2 linked regions of the Saccharomyces cerevisiae S288C genome follow. The protein of the gene in region 1 purifies or fractionates together with the protein of each later gene. This does not show direct contact. Each region holds a gene or a part of one and is shown on either strand. Other genes may lie near its edges.

Evidence for each region. Proteins that work in one complex are often made in the same cells at the same time.
Region 2: the proteins of AOS1 (region 1) and YEF3 purify together in Saccharomyces cerevisiae (affinity purification with mass spectrometry, with the first as the bait; 2 studies listed by BioGRID). This does not show direct contact.

Annotation. Positions count from the first base shown.
Region 1 is NC_001148.4:894,070-899,655, reverse strand, and holds AOS1 (E1 ubiquitin-activating protein AOS1), read right to left. Parts: upstream 3,696-5,586; coding exon 2,652-3,695; downstream 1-2,651. Other genes in the region: GTPase-activating protein SEC23, read left to right, coding at 1-2,295; HDA3 (Hda3p), read left to right, coding at 3,892-5,586. UniProt on the Saccharomyces cerevisiae protein: Could be involved in a ubiquitin-related process important for DNA damage tolerance.
Region 2 is NC_001144.5:635,057-641,731, reverse strand, and holds YEF3 (translation elongation factor EF-3), read right to left. Parts: upstream 4,953-6,675; coding exon 1,818-4,952; downstream 1-1,817. Other genes in the region: SYM1 (ethanol metabolism protein), read right to left, coding at 1-268; nucleobindin SSP120, read right to left, coding at 711-1,415; serine/threonine protein kinase RCK2, read right to left, coding at 5,648-6,675. UniProt on the Saccharomyces cerevisiae protein: Ribosome-dependent ATPase that functions in cytoplasmic translation elongation. Required for the ATP-dependent release of deacylated tRNA from the ribosomal E-site during protein biosynthesis.

The DNA.
Region 1 (5,586 bases):
ACTAATGAAGACATCAACGGGGTCCGTTTCACCTGGAACGTGTTTCCCTCTACTAGAAGCGACGCTAACAGCAACGTCGTCCCTGTGGGCTGTTTGTACACACCTTTGAAGGAGTATGACGAATTGAACGTTGCCCCATACAATCCAGTTGTGTGTTCCGGTCCACACTGTAAGTCGATTCTAAATCCTTACTGTGTGATTGATCCGCGCAATTCGTCCTGGAGTTGTCCCATCTGTAACTCCAGGAACCATTTACCTCCACAGTACACCAACTTGTCACAGGAGAATATGCCGCTAGAGTTACAGTCCACCACCATTGAGTACATCACCAATAAGCCCGTTACCGTTCCTCCCATTTTCTTCTTTGTTGTGGATTTGACTTCGGAAACCGAGAACCTCGATTCGCTAAAGGAGTCTATCATCACTTCTTTGTCTCTATTACCTCCCAACGCGCTGATTGGGTTGATCACTTACGGAAACGTTGTTCAATTGCACGATCTGTCCAGCGAAACTATTGACAGGTGCAACGTGTTCAGAGGAGACAGGGAGTACCAGCTCGAAGCGTTGACGGAAATGTTGACCGGCCAAAAGCCTACCGGCCCCGGCGGTGCTGCATCTCATCTACCGAACGCCATGAACAAAGTTACGCCCTTCTCTTTGAATAGGTTCTTCCTGCCCTTGGAACAGGTCGAGTTCAAACTGAATCAATTACTGGAAAATCTGTCTCCAGACCAATGGTCTGTTCCAGCGGGTCATAGGCCATTAAGGGCCACAGGTTCCGCTTTGAACATTGCATCTTTGCTTTTACAGGGCTGCTATAAGAACATCCCAGCAAGAATCATTCTTTTCGCCTCCGGTCCAGGCACCGTGGCCCCAGGTTTGATTGTTAACTCAGAGTTAAAAGATCCCTTAAGATCCCACCACGACATCGATTCTGATCACGCGCAACATTACAAGAAGGCCTGTAAGTTTTACAACCAGATTGCACAAAGAGTTGCCGCCAATGGACACACTGTTGATATTTTTGCCGGTTGTTACGATCAAATCGGTATGTCTGAAATGAAACAGTTGACCGACTCTACTGGAGGTGTGTTGTTGCTAACCGATGCCTTCTCTACCGCGATTTTTAAGCAATCATACTTGAGATTGTTTGCCAAGGATGAAGAAGGGTATTTGAAGATGGCTTTCAATGGTAATATGGCAGTCAAGACAAGTAAAGACTTGAAGGTACAAGGTTTGATTGGGCATGCTTCTGCTGTAAAGAAGACAGACGCTAACAACATCAGTGAATCTGAAATCGGTATAGGTGCAACGTCCACCTGGAAGATGGCTTCCTTATCGCCTTATCACTCGTATGCGATTTTCTTTGAAATTGCAAACACTGCGGCTAATTCTAACCCAATGATGTCTGCCCCTGGTTCAGCAGATAGACCTCATCTAGCATATACTCAATTCATCACTACTTATCAACACTCCTCTGGTACCAACCGTATCAGAGTCACCACGGTCGCAAACCAGCTTTTGCCCTTCGGTACTCCTGCCATTGCAGCTTCTTTCGATCAAGAAGCTGCTGCCGTTTTGATGGCTCGTATTGCTGTTCACAAGGCTGAAACCGATGATGGTGCAGATGTTATTAGATGGTTAGACAGAACTTTGATTAAGCTATGTCAAAAGTACGCCGACTATAATAAAGATGATCCTCAATCTTTCAGGTTGGCTCCAAATTTCTCACTGTATCCTCAATTTACCTATTATTTAAGAAGATCCCAATTCTTAAGTGTCTTTAACAATTCTCCGGATGAAACTGCATTTTATAGACATATTTTCACAAGAGAGGATACGACTAATTCTTTAATCATGATTCAACCAACTCTAACTTCTTTCTCAATGGAGGACGATCCACAACCGGTATTATTAGACTCTATCTCCGTCAAACCCAATACCATTCTATTATTAGATACATTTTTCTTCATCTTAATATACCACGGTGAGCAAATCGCTCAATGGAGAAAAGCCGGTTACCAAGACGATCCACAGTACGCAGATTTCAAAGCTCTTCTTGAAGAGCCAAAATTAGAAGCCGCAGAATTGTTAGTAGATAGGTTCCCGCTACCAAGATTCATTGATACTGAAGCCGGTGGTTCTCAAGCCAGATTCTTGTTATCTAAATTGAATCCTTCCGATAACTATCAAGACATGGCGCGCGGAGGATCTACAATTGTCTTAACAGATGATGTTTCCTTACAAAATTTCATGACTCACTTACAACAAGTAGCCGTCTCTGGTCAGGCATAGGAGCAACGGCTTTCTTTTGTTTTATTTGATCGTTATTAGGCTTTTTGTATAATATAAGGCCTGTTCAGTCCATTGCGCGTGCAAGAATTTTCCTTTGGACCTGAACGAAAAGAGTAGAGGATTTTATATAATATATTCTCCGTCTTTTTTGTACTGCGTGGCCTTTACTACGAATATCTGTATCTAATTTCTTTTCTAACTTTTTTATTACCATTACTACTACTACTATTATTATTATTATTATTATTATTATTATTATTATTATTGTGTATGACTATAATGCTTTACTGCCTCCAATTATGCTTTTTTTATTATTTTTTTTGGCTGAAACTACAGTATAGTAGGTATGTATATATCTAAAACTCAAAAAGTGGCATGTCTAATGTAATACCATCAAAAACAATGAAATTATTTAATGGAGATAGCCTTTTACCTAGAATGTTAATGACATCCTGCGCTACAGCACCCCCTATAATGGCCGCGACAGGAGCAAACTCGATACCTTTCTGTTTGATAAACTGTTGTATGTAATCGTCCTTTACCACTGTTGCTGGTACACCCAGATTTTCACACCATACGGCCGCATCTCTTTTCATTTGTTCAAAGCTTATGGCCTTGCCCTTTTGGTTGAGACCATATTGCAATAAGGACAGGGTTAACGGCAAGATACTAGTGACTCTTTTTAACTGTCTTTGCGTCATTTTTTCCTTTAATGTTGCTGTGCTTAAAACTTCGTTCAGTGGCCTATAGCAGTTCTTGGTCTTGATTCGTTCATATGTTTTTTTTTCATCTTCTTCATCTTTTCTAGTAGTAACTTCTATAATGCTCCTATTGCTTGAAATGGGACCAACGGTGGTAGGTCTTACACTTTGCAATTTTTCATCCTCTGAAATGAATTCAATCAAATCAATAAAAACATAAGCGAACAATCCATTAGAACCAGCAACATATAATGGAATGTTTAGTTTTCGAGTTAATGTGTTAATTTTGATTGCTTCATCAATCTGCATTTCTGTAGCCACGACTAAATCAAACTGCTGAAAGAACTCTTCGTCCTTTTCTTGCAAATCCTGCTTATCAAAGTTCAACTCTATACGGGGGTTCAAGTCTTGAATTCTCTCTTTTGTTGCATCAATCTTCCATTGGCCAACATCTTCAGAGCCTATGAAGAACTGGGATCCTAAATCTTCTTCAGTCACCATGTGTCCATCCAATATGGTTAAATGCCCTATACCACTAAGGACGATACTTTTGGTAATTTCAGAACCAATTGCTCCAAGATTGATCAGCAATACTTTTGCTGATCTCATATTGGCCTGTGCTGTCATTCCCCATAGACGAATCTGTCTATCATACAGTGCAATTTCATCTTCACTTAATTTTTCTACTTTCATATCCATAGTTACTGATTTAATCCACTCAGTTTGTTCTTCTTTTACTTTAATTGATAACTGCAAAAAATAACATTAGTGTTCTAGTATCCATAACACCGCGGTTTTCCAAAGTTTCAATTAAAGACAATAGAGAGAAGAAATACTTTAGACTATAAAAATGATAAAAAGGAAAGTTAGAAGCACAAACTAATTGCCCTTTAGTATGGATTTACTACGCATTTTAGACACGAAACCAATACCTACAATTGTTGATGCTACTACTCTGGGAATCTCAGGAAATACTTCCGGTGATTATTGGCTGCCAACTACAATGTCGCTTTATCAAAAAGAACTCACGGATCAAATAGTATCATTACACTACTCAGATATCTTGAGATACTTCGAAACGTCACACTACAAAGAGGACGTCATTCTCGAATCTATGAAGACCATGTGTTTAAATGGTTCACTGGTAGCAACCCATCCATACCTACTAATAGATCATTATATGCCTAAATCGTTAATAACTCGTGATGTTCCTGCACATTTAGCGGAAAATAGTGGAAAGTTCAGCGTTTTGAGAGATCTCATAAATCTTGTTCAAGAATATGAAACTGAAACGGCCATTGTTTGTAGACCTGGGAGAACAATGGACTTACTGGAAGCCTTACTATTGGGAAATAAGGTGCATATCAAAAGATATGACGGTCATTCTATCAAGTCAAAACAAAAGGCAAATGACTTCTCGTGTACAGTTCATTTGTTTTCTTCTGAAGGAATTAATTTCACAAAATATCCGATAAAATCCAAGGCTCGATTCGACATGCTGATCTGCTTAGATACTACAGTGGATACAAGTCAAAAAGATATTCAATATTTGTTGCAATATAAGAGGGAGAGGAAGGGTTTAGAAAGATATGCTCCAATTGTTAGGCTAGTGGCCATTAATTCAATTGATCATTGTAGGTTATTCTTTGGTAAAAAATTTGACAAGAACAGTAGAGAATACTTGGAGAACGTTACCGCAGCTATGGTAATTTTAAGAGATCGACTGGGCACACTTCCACCTGATTTGAGGCCCATTTATTCACAAAAGCTGCATTATTTAGTAGAATGGTTGGAAAACCCAACAGTACCGTGGCCATTACCAGATATTTACCCTTTAAAACAATATACTTCCATGGATGTAGAAAGGTCTTTGTTAACGGAAGTACATTTCAAAAAGTCAGATGATCAACTAGAGGATGCTTTTTCCAACTGTTCCAAAAAAAGAGGACGCCATGGTGCTAATAAGGCAGCATCTTCAACTGTTGCCGGAATTGAGGATAATATTACTCCAAGTTTTTACTCTACCAAAAGATTAAAGAACGATTATTATACAAATCCTTTAAAACAAGACATGACACAACTAACAGGTATTACTACAGCTGACAACTCCTCGAATGTAAATTACCACTTATCAAGTGGAATCATAACACACAAACTGATTCAATCAATGGGAGAAGTGTATATGGATATTTGCGTTCAGAAACAGGAGCTGGATGATTATTCTTGCCTTGATGATTTGCAAAATGATCATCTGAAATTTTTCTCAAATGAAGATGAGAAAATTATAAAAGAATATGAAACCGTATTGCGAACCAATAATGAAAACTTAAATAGGTCGCATGAACTAGAAGTTGAAAACAATTTGAAGTTTTCCCAAATCGAAACACTGGAAAAAGACATTGAAACTTTAAAGGGAAGTTTGATGGCCCAAGGTGAAACATTATCAAAGTTAAAAGACGCTTTCGTTAAAACAGACAATGTACAAGACGAGATCGAGAAAGAAGAAAGGGTAAGTGTATCAAGGGATACTGAGAAGAAATATATGGAACAAGAAATCAAAAGAGCCGTTGATGCTATAAGGGAAAATGAG
Region 2 (6,675 bases), on another chromosome or scaffold:
TAGACCAGTGGTACTGAGGTCTGTTACGCATATAAATCTTGTTGTTCAAGATCTTGTACCACTTGTCACCTATAAAGGAGAAAATTAAAGAACCATAGATGACAGCCCTAGCTGTCCTTTTATAATCATAACCCTTGTTTACTTTGGATGTTGGAAACAACAATTGAGCAGAAACATCACCAATTCCAAATAGCGCACCTGTCATTATCGCATTCGTAGTTTTGGGCCTTCTCTTCAAGCTCGCTTCATATAAATGCAATAACTTCATACTGTTTTAATATCAATTCTATCTTTCCTATAGTAATAACAAAAGACTGTGTTTGCCTTTTCCCTTTTGTAAGGCTAAATATGACAACATAGCATTCAAATAGCTCTTCTATCATATCACTATCATAGATATTTCCATTTTTTTTTTTTTTTCACTTTGTACTTATACTGTTAAAGTTCGACATTTAAGGGACAAGGAGGTGCCACTGTTTCCCGAAACGCTTCTTGTTACCATCGGAGAGAAAAGACCAATACATACGTAATTAGAACATAGAAAATAGAACGTTTAAAGTAGATAGTTAATCACAAAGGAGAGGCATCACAACGATGCGATGGTAAAAATATATTTTAAGTGCTTTGATTACTTACTACATGCTAATTGACTACATACATAGTGTCTTGAATATTTTCTCAGTCTCAACTATTCATCTTGACCAAGTCCATTAAAAAATTCCATTTTTGAATTTCTCGGGAATATTTTTCAGCTCTATTCTAGACTCTAGTTCGTCATCAGTTATTACAGTAGCTCTAGAAGCGCCTCTTTGAATTTCTTCTTCATGTTCAATTTCATGTTCATGATGAAGCAATTCATGTTCTATGTCTTCTTTGTGAACGACTTTAACGTCTGGATCTTTGTCCTTATGAAACTTATTCCAGTGATGAATTTCATATTCTAGCTCAAAATCGGAGTGGTGACCTACACCAACGCCAAGGTCAGGGAACTTGTTTCCTCTCTTAGCAAATTGTAGATATTCCTCCTTGGTGATTTTGGTATTATCATCAACATCCAATAACCTCATAATAAGGCTAACAACACGCTTAGCCATTTCATTGTCAATTTTCTCAGATTCATCGTGTTGTCCCATACCATCACCAGCCCCCACAATTTCTTCACGGTTCAACCCGTAGAGAGATAGAATATCGTTTTCATCTAAAAATCCTTTCTTCTTGATATCATGTAACGCGAAGAAAGTCTCTGGAGTGTAATCTTTTAGCTGATGCTCATGGTCCATATGCCACTCCTCCCAGGATAAACCATCAGGTGGTGCCTCATTTTCCACATTAATTTCAGATCCTATTTCTGCCGTGGCAGTTACTTTATATAGAGTGAAAGCCAAAGAAAATACAAATCCCCTCAAAAACCTCATTTCCACAATTTTAATAGAACAGGGATGAAAAAATTTTAGGTCTTGGCTCTTTTATCTTTTCTAGAAGGAATATAATATTACGCTCAATCATGTTTTAAAGCTTCCTAGTCTATGATCCGTCACCTATTTTTATTCTTCCAAAAAAATATTTTCGTTACCCTCTTACCGAAAAGGGTATGAGGCAATGCTCAATTTGCCTGAGCTTAAGAATGTATGAAAAAAAAAGATGTCTGACTAATGGAACGCTTTTTCTTTTAAATAATGCCTTTCTTTATAATAAGGAAGTTGCGTCTATATTTTACCAAAATAAACAATATTACAAAAACATAGAAATTAAAATATACATAAATTATTGATCAATAAAAATCTTAAAGAAAACTGTGAAAGCAGTGATCAAAAAGATTAGAATTCTTCGTCAGAAGAAACGTAAGCATCACCCAATTCCTTCTTCTTCTTCATTCTTTCCTTCTTCTTCTTTCTCAATTCCGCAGAAGACAACTTCTTCTTCTTCTTACCACCGGCAATCTTGTTACCCATAGCATCGAATTTATCTTCTTCGTCTTCCTTCTTTTCGATTCTTGGACCAGCACCTTGACCACTAACCCAGTTGTGACCAGATGGAGTCATTCTACCGTCCTTGACGGCCCAGACTTCTTCAGTCAAGTTCTTTGTGAATTCAGCAGAGTGAGTAATGATAATAACACCACCTTCAAATTCCTTCAAAGCCTTAGACAAAGCACCCAAAGAATCTCTGTCCAGATAGTTGGTAGGTTCATCTAAGACAATCAAGTGAGGTCTTTGCCATGTACCGGCAGCTAAGACCAACTTAACCTTTTGACCACCAGACAAACCTCTAATTCTGGAGTGAGAAACAATTTCTGGGTCCAAACCCAACATGGAACAATGTTCTTCAATTTCTTTTCTGGTTAATGGACGGAATTGACCAGAAGCCAAAGCTTCCTTCATATCAACTTCAGCAACCATCTTAGAGTGAGATTCAACCAATTCACCTCTTGGAATCCAAGCGTTGTCGACGGACATCATTGGAACCCATCTTTCAGATTTCATACCAATGTTTTCACCCAATAAGAAAGAACATTCATATTCGTAAGTGTTCTTGAACTTTCTTCTGGAGTGGATACCGGCAATTCTTCTAGGGGTACCTTCAATCTTGAAGATCTTGTTCATAGCTTCAGCATCGTTTTCGTTGATTTGTCTGTTAGCTCTGTCCATGGTTTCTCTATCTTCACCGGTTTGGAATCTCCATTGGATATATTCAGATGGAGTCTTGTCCAAATGAGATTCGATATGAGCAAAAGCGTGTTGCTTAATGTAAGCGATACGACAATTTTCGTGGGTGTAGACTTCACCAGAGGTTGGTAATAGTTCACCAGTCAAGACGTTAATCAAAGTAGACTTACCAGCACCATTTGGACCAATGACAGCAATTCTGGAAGACAAAGAACATTGGAAGTTAATGTCAGTGATTTGTGGCTTAGAGGTACCTGGATATTGGAATTCCATGTTGGTAACCTTGACAATAGCCTTTTGCTTAGTCTTAACACCTTCCAAGTAACCTGGTTCTGGGAACTTGAATTCCAAATCAGTGTTGGATAATTCTTCGTAAGCCTTAGCAGCTGGACACTTCTTAACGAATTCGGTAAAGTTACCCTTGTACTTTCTCAACTTCAAACCTTCGTAGTTAATAATATATTCACAGACGTTATCTAAGAAAACGGAGTCGTGAGAAATAGTGATAGAAGTGATACCACAGGTGTTCAAGTAGTTAACTAACCAAGCAACGTTGACGGTATCCAAATGGTTAGTTGGTTCATCTAACAACAAGATATCAGCATTTCTCAACACAGCTCTAGCTAGAGCCAACTTCATCTTCCAACCACCAGACAAAGCAGAGATTGGCATAGCAATCATTTCATCGGTGAAACCGAATTCAATCAATTTGTCCTTGATAGCTTCTTTAGTACCAACACCAGATTCGAAAACGAAATCCAAGACGGAAGTGTCAGAGTGAGTACCATCAATGTCGTGTTCGACGTAGACGGTTCTACATTCTTCTTGGGTTGGGAAACCATCAACTTGACCGTTGGCAATAGCTCTCATTAAAGTGGACTTACCACAACCGTTTGGACCACAGATACCATATCTTCTGGCTCTCTTCAATCTTAATTGGGTCTTGTTCAACAAGATTTTAGCACCATAAGCCAAAGAGAATTCACAGTTACATAAGTCTTCACCTTCGTCTTCTTCGTCGTCGAAGTTTGGACCAACTGGAATGTTGTCGACAGCTCTCTTTCTGAATTCGTCCAAGATGTCCTTGGCCTTCTTTTCGTGCAAGAAGATAGTCATGTATGGGGTGATGTGGGTGAACCAAGCTTGTTGGTCAATGATTCTTTCATCGATCAAATCAGCACCAATGGCGGCAATGTACTCGACGACAATCTTAAATCTTGGAGCAACGGTTTCGTCCTTCAACAATTCGTTAACGACTTGCAAAGTAGTAGAAACGTCACCAGCGTGAGAAACTTCTGGAATAGCATCGTCTTCACCAACGTTACCAACTCTTCTCAAAGTCTTCAAAGCTCTCAAAGTAACTTCTCTGGCTTCTGGGTCAGCAATGGTAGCAAAGTTACTCTTCAAACCTGGCAACAATTTACCCAAGAAAGGAGCAATAACTTGTGGGTCTTCGACCAACTTACACATGTTGTCAATAATAACAGCAGACTTACGCTTGATACCGGTTTCTCTTTCGTTCAAACCTCTGGACAACAATGGGACCATGATGGACAAAGTAGCTGGAGTAACTTCAGCAACGAAAGTAGTAGCACCTAACAAATGAACGGTTTCTGGAACTTCAGTTGGGTCAGCAATACATTGAATCAAACTTGGAATGAAACGTTCAATATCCTTGTTGTCAACAGTTTCGGTAGCCTTGGTCATGGCGGCAGTAGCAGCAGCCTTGACTTCCTTCTTGGTGTCCCACATGGTTTCAGACAAGACTGGAATCAATTCTGGCATTCTTAGGGCAACTTGATCCTTAGCAGCATCGACCATAGCAGAGATAGCTGCCAAAATAGCAATCTTTTCTTGCCATTTGTTAGTTTCGACAATAGCGTTAGTCAAATGTGGCAACAAAGCTTTGATGGCAACTGGGTTAACAGCGTTAACGATGGAAATCAAAGTTTCGGAAGCAACAGATTGAATTTCTTTGTCCTTGTTACCTGCGTTGGTACAGATAGCTGGAACCAATTGGACGATGTATGGTTCAACAGATGGAGACAAGTTAGATTGGTTAGCAATGTGAGCAACAGCTTGCATGGCGTTAGCAGCGGTCTTCTTGTCCTTGATACCCTTGGCCAATTCACCGAAGAAGTGTTCTGGAACATCATGTTCAATGATGTTACCATTCAAGAAAGAAGCGACTTCAGAAGCGATTTCGTGTCTGTTGTCAGCAGTGGCAACAGATAACTTCTGGAATAGTTCTTCTAGAACCTTAATGGATTGCTGGGAATCAGACATCTTTTAATGTTATCGATGGATTCGAACTAGAAAAATACACGGTTCTTTAGAAAACAATTAAGGAAAGAAAGAGAGCGTAAGAAAAAGAGATATTCTACAAAATTTTGATGCAAAAGGTTTTTATAAAACTTCTTATCTTATATGAAAGATGAGATGAGATAATTATACTCGAGGAAGCGAAAAAATTTTCACCAACGCAAAAAAAGAAAAAGAAAAAAAAAAAAAAAACATTAAAAACGTTTCTTTTTCACGTGCTAAGTGATCTAATAATTTAGGGTTATGCATGGGTGGGGCCGGATAAACCGCGGTTGAAAGTGATTAAACGGAGTCTTTTCTTTTTTTTGCTTCTTCGTTTCTTTTTTTAATTTCTTCTTTCTTCACGAATATTTATTACCCAGCCTGTCATGATTTTTTGATACGTAATTGCCCTGGTTGGGCCCTTTTGCGAGTGGCAGTAAGTATGGAAGGGGCGAACAATGATTGTAAGTTGTTTTTTTAATAGGGTAACGACCGGGTAAAATAGAAAGAAGTGTTGACTAAGAAACGGGAATCAACATTCACTTGCTTATCTTAAAATGTTATGTATATATACGCCCTGTAGATATGTATAAAATATATACTTGTAGAAGGAGTTTAATGTATATATATCTTTTAAAAAGGAATAGGTAAAAAGATTGAAACAGAAGGGAAAGTTGCTATTCCCTGATAGTGGCGCTTATTGGAATTGTAGGCCCTACGTCATTTTCTTGAACTTTTTTTCTTCTTTGCAGAATCGTGGACGTATCCAGCGTTAATTGGAACATATTTTGTTCCAGCTGTTCATCGCCTTGGGCGCCACTGTAACTATCTTCCAATTCTTCGTCCTCAGCAAGCGAGCCTAATCCTCCACGTGTTCCCATACGGTCTTCTTCGGTACGTTTCACAGCATTACCAATATCAAAGGCGTCACGCATAGCAACAGCAGCTGGTGAAAACAGTAGCGAGGAGTCTCTTTGAAATAGTTGGAATTGTTTCTTATGCGGATGGCGTCTTTCGGAAGTACCTGCTTTCTTTTGTGAAGATTCGCCCTCCTTTGGTAAACAATCGAATGTATTTAACCATGGGTCGTCCAAAAACTGGTCAATGTCGTATCTTTTAGACGGCTCTAGTTCTAATAGCTTAGCCACGGCATTCTTGGCACCGGCGCTGATTTCATCCCACCAAGGTTTCAGAAAGGTATACTCACCCCTTGATATTTTTTCAGTTAAAGTGTCAATTTTCTCATCATAGAATGGCGGGAACCCACATAACATTGTGTACAAAACGCAACCAATCCCCCACATATCCACTTTCATAGAATAATGCTCATCTTTGACAACTTCAGGGGCAGTGTAACCGACTGTACCACAAGGAGTCTTGGTGTTCTTGGAAAATATTTGTTTAGACAAACCAAAATCAGCTAGTTTTACTATACCAATTCCACCACCACCAACTCCTGGTGTGAAAATTCCCTCGTCTGCCTTTGTTTGCGGATCATCCGATTTCCTCAATTTTGGTTTTATAGAGCGTGTGAATTCAATCGGTTCAAAAAGAAGATTCTCAGGTTTTATATCACGATGCACTACACCTAGTGAATGCATATGTTTAACAGCCAGTGCTAATTGTTTGATTACATGCCTTGATAAATCTTCACTGAAATAGGTCAACCTAACAATTTCGCCGAAGATTTCCCCACCGGTTAGTA